Oryzias latipes: one gene and its partner. The protein of the gene in region 1 purifies or fractionates together with the protein of each later gene. This does not show direct contact. Links are inferred from orthologs where the notes say so. Each region holds a gene or a part of one and is shown in the gene's direction. Other genes may lie near its edges. The genes, in order: map4k5 and crkl.

Region 1 (4,507 bases):
GGGGGGGTCTCCCGGATCTGGCTCCTTGCTTTATGAGGGGGGGGGTCCTGAGGCATCAAGCCAGTGTTGTGTTGTGTTTTTTTGTTGCATTTTACAGCTTTTAAAAAAAGTTGTAAAGATTTCAGACTTTCCTAACTTTAGCCAAGAAAGTGCTCTAAAAGTAAAGTGTTGGGTTTTGGCTTCACCACCTTCACTCCTTCGTTCTTCAGAAAACTTGAAGATCGTCAATCTTCAGGGGAGACTGAAGTCCAACAAGAAGCTGGCCTCTGAACTCAGCTTCAACTTCAGCATCGAGTCCGTCGGTGAGTCCACGCCGTCCATCACAGTCGGATCCTCCTTAAAGAAACCCGTGTTTGCTCGAATGCGTGCAGCTCTGAGCACGCCTGATCTGGACTGGAACAAACCGGTTCTTGGTCTGGAATCCATGCATAAAAACCAAAGCCTCTTTCCATGCTGGAAAAATGCAAACGTTCCTCTGTTTACAAAAGACTTCACCTTCATCTTCTGCTGCTGAAGGAGCAGGTTTGACCTCCATGTGGAAGCCTTTGTTGAAGGTCGTGACCTCCACATCTGGATCCACATGTGCAGAACTGGTCTCTCCAGTCTCTTCTTCTCTGGGACATTTTCATGGAGTCAGCAGCCGTTTGGTTTCAACGGCGTTCCCAGAAGAACCAAAGACTGAAGCAAACCGAACATGTGGAAGACTTGCTGTTCCATCAGCTGCTCATGTGGGGGCGCTGTTGGCGGAAAGAAGTCGTCTCCTGACTCTCATCCATGAAGAAGCTCCTGCATCTCCTCACTGCTCCACCGTCATGTTGTCTTCTTCTGTCTGGGGTTCGGATTTTTACATAAACGCCGTTTTCTGATGGTCAGAGCCGGTCACATGACGGGCTGCTGTCAGGTTCTGATCTTCCTTCTGGTTTCCTTCAGTCGCTCCTGAAAGCCAGAGATCCTGAAGCCAACGTTTCAGCTTTTCCTGGCTTTCAGATGTTGGCGGTGGGACACAGTATGGTGGGTTTTGAGTGTTTCCGCCAGCGTTTCATGGCTCCCTTTCCTCTGCAGTGTGCCTGCAGGACAGCGTCTTGGTCTTCTGGAAACACGGCATGCAGGGCAAGAGCTTCCGGTCCAACGAGGTAAGACGGCTTTGAGACCTTCTTCTTCTGCACGGCGGTTCTTCACCGCTTCTCTGGTTTTTCAGGATTTTACATTCAGGTAATTTGCAGAGAAGCTGCAGAAACTGTCAGTTTGTTTCTGATCCAAAAGACTGAGACCTGATCTGGGTAGAGCCCCCGCCCCGCCCCGAAAGCTCAGATGAGGATTTTGAAGCCCTCATGTAAAATTCATGCTCTGTCATAAATGAGCCCGTCACAGTCGCAGAGCCCCCCCCATCAATAATTCAGCCCCCCCGCCTCGTTCACGGCTCTCCTCGTAGAGCGAGGACTCCGGGGGGGTCAGGCTCCACCTGAGACCTTGTTGTCTTTAGGCGTGATCAGATCTCCCCGGGGGGCTCACACCTCGCAGGTGTCACCCCCCCCTCCAGCTGTCAGCAAGTGTTCATGACATGACCTCATGTTTTACACGGCTACAGGCTTCTCCACGGCAACAAAATCCTCCCCCAGCCCTGAAAAAACCCGAGCCGCTCCTCCAGCGCCGAAACCAAAGACCGGCTCAGAATTCAACACGCCGGTGTCCTCCACGGCGCCGCTCTGGGATTGTGGGTTAAACGCCCTGATGTTTGTTTTCCAGGTGACCCAGGAGATCTGTGACCCGAGCAGAGTCTTCCGCCTCCTGGGATCCGACAGGTTGGTGCCGACGTTTGCCGCGTTTTCCCTGAGAAAGATCCAGAGTGGAAAATGAATTAACAAAAAAAACTGCATGCAGAAGTTCAGACGAGCAGAACCGGGTTCTGTTTGTCTGAGTAAACATCCCTGTTGGCATGGTTACTCTGACAGGACACGCCCCCTCAGCATCCAGTCATGGCGGATCAGGTAAAAACCGCTTCCATCACGCCTCAGAAGAGGTGATGAGCAGAACATCCTCACAGGGATCATAGAGTTCTCCTACAGAAAATAATCCCCCCCTAGAACCGGGTTTTGGACCGAGTTTCACAGAGAGGATGAAGGGGATCACGTAGTTTCTCCGGTCTGCCTTTTGACCCGTTAGCTTTTTCAACATGATGACGCGTTCAAGAACAAAACAAACTTTCAGTTTCGTCTTTTCACATCTTCAGCTCCTTCGCTAAACTTCAGGATGGTTTTCTGGAGAAGCTCCAGAAGTTCTTTCACGTTTGAGTCCATTGAACGGATCCAGCGTTGGCCGGACGCTGGACCAGCAGCTCACGGCGGCTGCAGTGAAGACCCATCATTCTGGTGCCGCCTCCGGCACCAGAATGATCCGTCTCCGTGCCGCCGAGCCCGCCATGTTTTATTCACCGGTGCCGCCAGCCGGGTGTGAGTTTCTCTGCCCGACTCTGAAATTTCATCTGATGGAACGGACCGGATAGGATGCGGTTCTGCTGCCGTCCCGTCATCCCGGGGACGGATTCCATCTGAAAGTGAAGGTGACTCGCTCCACCGCCGGCGCCCGCTGCTAGGACACTTCCCTCCCCTTCCCGCTCTCAGATTTTCTTCCCGCTCGTTCAGTCATCCCCCGCATAACCACCAGTGAGATGGACCGGACGTCACATGACCCGGCTGTTTGGTTTTCAGCCGTTTGAATCCTTTGTTGTAAATGTACAAATAAGCTAAAAAGACGGTTTAAGGGCAGGATGGGACGGTCACATGTCAAAGAGCCACGCCCTCATTTTTACTCCTGACGGCACGCGTGTCCATCACAGCAGCACCACTTCCTTCCTGTGACGGACCGTTGTCGTCCAGTTAATCCACTGAGTTGCACAGGAAGCCCGAACCATGACTCCTCCACCACCGTTCCTCTTGATTTTCTCTGCAGCTGTCTAGCGCGTCTGCAGGACAGTTGGTTACAGAGCCACGGGGAGTTGAACGTCGTTCTCAGCGAATCATCTGAGATGGTTGATCTGTGTGATGGAGAAGCTTTCATGTTGTCATAGTAACCTGCAGAATCGTTGCAGACGGAGGTTCTTGGTCCTCTGGTGCCGTCACAGCCTCACCGCTGACTCCCTCTCCTGTTTGTTCACAGGGTGGTTGTTTTGGAGAGCCGGCCGACCGACAACCCCACCGCCCACAGCAACCTCTACATCTTAGCTGGACACGAGAACAGTTACTGATCCGCTCCGCACGGTGGAGGACCGCCGGAGCTCCAGCTTTGGGAGACCAGCCCACATGTGGAGTACGAAGCTATTGACGCGTTACTGGGAGCTTTTGTTTCAGGATGGGAGAGGAGCGCCGGCGGGAACCACATCTCGCTGGAGGGTTCGGCATCTTCTCCGCCGCGCAGGTGACCGACCTCTGCAGACGTTTTCCTTAAAAGTGCCATTAATCCGTCTGGGATTGAGTTCGGAACGGCGGGAGAACACCTGTAACACGTAGCGTGTCCGTAGACTCCAGGGGAGATTTTAAAACCCGACTAATGAGCTCACGGAGCTGCCCAAGAGCATTGTGGGTAATTTAAACAATATTTATTAACTCATCTTTGGTCGGAGGGAGTCCTGGATGTTTCTGCCGTGTAATTTTGCTTCTCCTGTCTGCTGCTTTTTTACGAACGTGGATCTATTGTACATGCCCCGCCCCCTACCTTTATAGAACATTTAATTCTTTGCACCATTTAAGCACTTTTGTACATTTTTTTAATTTAAAATGAAATGATAAAATGAGGGACGATGCTCGGTTTTTATTAACATCCCTGCAAATGTTTTGTAATTAAAAGCTTTTAACTTGAAAAACCCTGTCTCATTGTTATGGTGTGTGTGTGGGGGGGGGTCCTCAGAGGGGAAACAGCTTCCCTAAAGTTGTTTTCAAAGAGGCTGTAATGACATCAGAGCTAAGGTAAACATCACCTAAGGGGGGCGGGGCGGTTTCTAAGGATTTTAAAGGAAGCAGAAATGTGTGAACCTACTGAAGTCCCCTTCAAAATAAGAGCAGCAGGGAGGATAGTTGGGGTTTTTTTCAGAGCTGACGCTGTTTTGATGAACTAAAGAAACGTTTTTGCATAAAAATCAGAAGTTTCTTTATAAAATGTACATTCAGAAACATTCAAACTGGCATTTGATGGGAAAAGCTTCATAATGTGAGTTCAGCTGTCTGCATAGGTTCACTTCTATAAGTTAAAAAAATCATAAAATATTTTTTAAAGCTAAAGAGTTTGGTGCCAAAAAAATATCATTTAGTTTATCACACAGCAGGTTAGTGTAAAAAAACACATTTTTCTATTTATACGGCTCCATATAAGACAGAGAAACAGACATGATTAGAAACCTCCAGAAGAGTCTCAGACTTTAGACTTTTATATATAGAAAACGTTTTTAAAACCACAATGCATCCAGTTTTTATGCAAACAGGTTCATGTGTGGTAATGAAGTCAATGAAGAAAC
Region 2 (4,591 bases), on another chromosome or scaffold:
CAGCGTTTGTATTCTGGCAGTGGCGCTCTGATGAGAGGTTCACTGTCTTGATCTGTAGCCTCACAAGGCATAGCCGCTGAAACCACAAGCACAGAGCTACCTCTTTGTGTGTTTTACTTTCATCACAGAGCAGAAGTAGCAGCCCTGCTGCAGAGTTTTGCCTGTCAAATGAATCCACTATTGTGTTTTGTCAGGGAGGATTTTTATGTGGCACAGCCTTTTGCATTTTAAAAACTCTTTTTTTTCCCTTCCGTTGTATTTCTTATTGAGTCAAGTAGCAGTTTACTATTAGTGTGTCACCGTCCAATTCCAGACCATATATACATTAAGATCGAGTGAAAGGGGAAGTTAAGAAACATCAGGAAATGAAATAAGAGAAACATGCTTTTTTCTCCTTTAGAGATACTTAACAGAGAAAACGGGCTTTTTCATTTTAGCGAGTCTATATCTCAGTCTATTATAAAGCTACACATCTGCAGAGGTATCAGCCATAAAAAATATCTAAGCACTAAGATATAAGGAGTTTTGAAAGTGTAGCTAAAAATTTTTGCTTTAAAATCTCTGACAAATTCAGCAACTCCCTGAACCTGAAAGGGATTCAGCAGGTTTAGGAAATGCATGGATGGATGAATTCAGGCTAAAACCAACAAAAACAATGGTTCACTTCTATTTAGCATAAAAATAACAGTAACAAACACAAAGCACTGATGTACTTTTCTACTGAAGCTCCTGCCAGGTTTACGTCAGAGAAAAATCAGCCCAAAGGTTGCAGACCCCTGGTATACTGTGACATTTCTCACACAATATTTGAGTAGTTTGGTTTTATTAAGTTATTTTTTCTCTCTTATTTACTTCAGAATAGTAGCCTAGTCTATGATCAGTGGTGGATTTAAAACATTTCATATGGGGGGGCAGTAGACTTTAATTGGGTGGCAAATGTGATAAGCAGAGAGGAAGGCCATTACAAATGAAAGGGTTAACCATGTTTCATAGTTTTATTATTGTTATTAATAACAACACTGCATTTTTTTTTTTTGCTGAGGTGCCATTACTAACAAAGCTTGCATTAATGATTTCTTAATCTTTGTGAAAATAATAATACTGTTTCAAAAATTGGTTGGGGGCAACTGCCCCCTTCTGCCCCCCTGTAGCTCTGGCCCTGCTCATGGTGGTTAAATGGAGGAACTCCTGCTTCACACGATTCCCTTTTGTTTATTAGCCGTGCGATCATTGAAAATTTGGCCGCACATCTTTTGGTTGGTGTTTTGTCAGGTCTAAAATGGAATAGGAAGAAAAAGAAAAGAAAACTTAAACCGGCACATTAAAAAAGAAAACTTTATTGAAAATGAACAGTTTTACAGAATATATAGACAAGGGCATCCGAAACAAATTAATGAACACACTTTTTTTTTACTCACAATAATAAAAGCAAGGGACATGAAATGACAACAGTGACACATCAAAGTGGGCCCGCCAGAAACGTCATCACTCGCCCACCTTTTCCTCCGCCCACGGCCCCACCCCTTCCTCTCCTGCTCCCCTCCGTGACGTGCAGATAGAAAGCGGGACCAGCCCTCCCGTCGCCATTTTTCCCGTGTCCTGCTTGCGCTTTCTGCTGGCTGAAACAAGCGGGACCCGCTGAAATTAGAGAACGGATATCGCACGGAACCGGCACGCCTGGATCTCTCGCGGGCACTCGAGGAATGCACGCGAGAACTGGAGCGCAGCAGACACGCGGCGGCCGTCATATCATTTTTTGGTGTGAAGACGTGTTGCGAGCCGCCATTTTTCCCCCCCTCAAAAGTCTACTCCGACCCGAGAAAGGGGAGTTAAACACCCCAATTCCGTGACGTCCGCCTTTTTGTGACACCAAGAGGATACAGAGTCGGTATTTTCTTTCTCTACGCTGTCACAATTTTTGTTTTTAGTTGCAAACATGGAGATGGAACGCGCCTGAGGCCACCCTTTCCGTTCTCGTAACTGACACTGACTGAACTGAAGCTAAATAATTGTGAGTTTTCGCGGAAGGCGGAACAACGAGAGGAAGCTTTATTGATCATTTGTTGCTTCAGTTTCCGTCGATGTTCGTCCGTTTCGGGGCCGTTAGCTGCTCGTCACATTATGCTCCCGGGCTGGATCAGCAGGTCGGTCGCAGCCTGTCGCTGAAAACGTCAGGTTGATCTTTTGTTTATTTGTTTTAATCGGGTCCTCGGGCGACGAACGCCCTACCCCGCATCTGCCAAGTACTGCAGCTGGATGCGATAGGCCCGTTTGAATCTAACTTATTCAATAGTTCTCATTTTCTTCTTTATATTAACTTATTTTTTAAAGATTTTTTTTAAAATGTCCGCGTCCCGATTTGACTCGTCTGATCGCTCGGCCTGGTATTTCGGACCAGTGTCGCGACAGGAGGCGCAGAACAGGTTACAGGGGCAGAGACACGGCATGTTTCTGGTGCGAGACTCGTCCACCTGTCCCGGGGACTACGTGCTGTCGGTGTCCGAAAACTCCAAAGTATCTCACTATATCATCAACTCTTTGCCCAGTAAGAGGTTCAAGATAGGAGATCAAGAGTTCGAAAACCTCCCAGCCCTTCTGGAGTTCTACAAAATCCATTACCTGGACACAACAACGCTAATAGAACCAGCATCCAGGTACGATCGTGACGTCTTCCAGCATCCCGGTAGACGACCACTTTCTGTTCTGTTATTCCTCAGCAAATATGTCGTTGAATTAGCATGTTATTGGACAGTTCCTGTTGAGTTTGTTTTAACATTAGCTAAGATGTTCATGAATAACTAGCCTGATCTGTACACAACTGTGTGTGACATTAGGGGGTGTAACAGTTCGATTTGTATCATAATTCATAGTTGCCAACCCGATTCATAGTCGATATTGATTCATTTTGAATGATCCGATCATCCACTGACCTGAAATCAATCCACCATGACATATTTCGCCAAAATTTCAACCAGTTCGACTCAGAGATAAATACTTGGATACTCAACAGTGCAGGTGAAATCTTCCAGATTCCCTGTCTTTCTTGGAAGATAATCAGGTGTAAATTAAATATGTGTACAAACAAACAAACAAGTAAACAACAATTAATGGCAAATGTATTTTAGTCTAACAAAGTTCAGCCCACTTTTGTTTTTCCACATAAGAATAATACAAAGGCCATTTTTAGAACATTCTACCACACTGAATGGTGACGTCTTAGCTAAATTCATAGTAGTTCCTTAAATTGAACTGGAACGATGGACTGATCTTTTTTTATTTTATTTATTTATTTATTTTGCCGCTATCACGTTTGTTGTCCTCTCTCAAGGTCGTTTTTACGTTATAGAAAAATAAACAATCCAAATGGTATTTTCCTGTATCGATTTGAAGGTCATTTTGAAATAATTTAATAATGGTATAGATCAATTCTATTAACAACAGATAAATCGATCTGGAAATCATTTAAGGCAATTGATCGTTACACCCCTGTAGGGTATAGTACATTTGCGTGTGTATTCTAGTGTTTTTACACACTCTTACACACCAAGGCATTAGTGCACTTCATGCAGATGATACCTTTCTTAACCCTTTGACACCGTAACTTTAGCTGCTGTGTTGATGGTCTTGAATTACAGTAACTCTTCAACCGTTTAGGCAATTAACATATGTTCTGAACTATAAGTTGCAGCAGCTAAACAATACATCATAAGGAAGGGGGGAAATCATCTATTAGTCACACTGGAGTTTAAGTCGCACTTTTTAACATAGTACGTGACCAAGAACTAACGTTTAATCTCTAAAGGAGATCATACTAATGGAAAAGATAACAATAATGCACTTATTATCTGCACACTTCACTACAAACTGATGCATGTATAGTGCAAGCATCAGTGCATTTTTAGCCAGTTTTCTCAACTGTAGAATCTGTTGGAATTTTGTTACTTGGGTAAATGGTCCAAGAGTTACAGTAGTTTGAAGAGCATGTGTTGTTTCATGTCTATTAAAGGGTTAACAAGGAACCATTGATACACTCTTCTACGCAAAACATTTCAGTTGGGTCATATCTTTTCAGGTACCCAAGCACTATTGGTGGTCCGGTCCAGTCTATGATTGGTCCAGAGGATAACTTTGAGTACGTGCGGACACTATATGACTTCACTGGTAGTGACGCGGAGGACCTTCCATTCAAGAAAGGGGAGATCCTTATCATTTTGGAAAAGCCAGAGGAACAATGGTGGAGTGCCAAAAATAAAGATGGACGCGTCGGGATGATCCCCGTGCCCTACGTGGAGAAATTGGTACGACCCTCCCCCCATCCTGGCCAGCCTTCCCACGGCTCGCGCAACTCCAACAGCTACGGTATCCCGGAGCCATCCCACTCCCTTGTTAACGCCTATGCCCAGCCCCAGACCTCTCCCCCCATGCCCCCCGGCACACCCGGAGCAGTCATTGCCCCGTTGCCCTCCATGCAGAATGGTCCTGTGTTGGCAAAGGCCATTCAGAAGCGTGTGCCCTGTGCCTACGACAAAACTGCCCTTGCTCTAGAGGTAAGTTCAATCCTTCTTATCTGTCTTTCTATATGTAAATACTC

The links.
Region 2: the proteins of map4k5 (region 1) and crkl purify together in Homo sapiens (affinity purification with western blotting; 3 studies listed by BioGRID and IntAct, with this or other methods). This does not show direct contact. The link is inferred for Oryzias latipes from reciprocal best matches to the Homo sapiens genes MAP4K5 and CRKL.

What each region holds. Positions count from the first base shown.
Region 1 is NC_019880.2:1,340,273-1,344,779, forward strand, and holds the end of map4k5 (mitogen-activated protein kinase kinase kinase kinase 5), read left to right. Parts: intron 1-209; coding exon 210-302; intron 303-1,062; coding exon 1,063-1,133; intron 1,134-1,746; coding exon 1,747-1,802; intron 1,803-3,156; coding exon 3,157-3,244; 3' UTR 3,245-3,864; downstream 3,865-4,507. UniProt on the Homo sapiens protein: May play a role in the response to environmental stress. Appears to act upstream of the JUN N-terminal pathway.
Region 2 is NC_019870.2:17,501,309-17,505,899, forward strand, and holds the start of crkl (crk-like protein), read left to right. Parts: upstream 1-1,545; 5' UTR 1,546-2,343; coding exon 2,344-2,654; intron 2,655-4,072; coding exon 4,073-4,547; intron 4,548-4,591. UniProt on the Homo sapiens protein: May mediate the transduction of intracellular signals.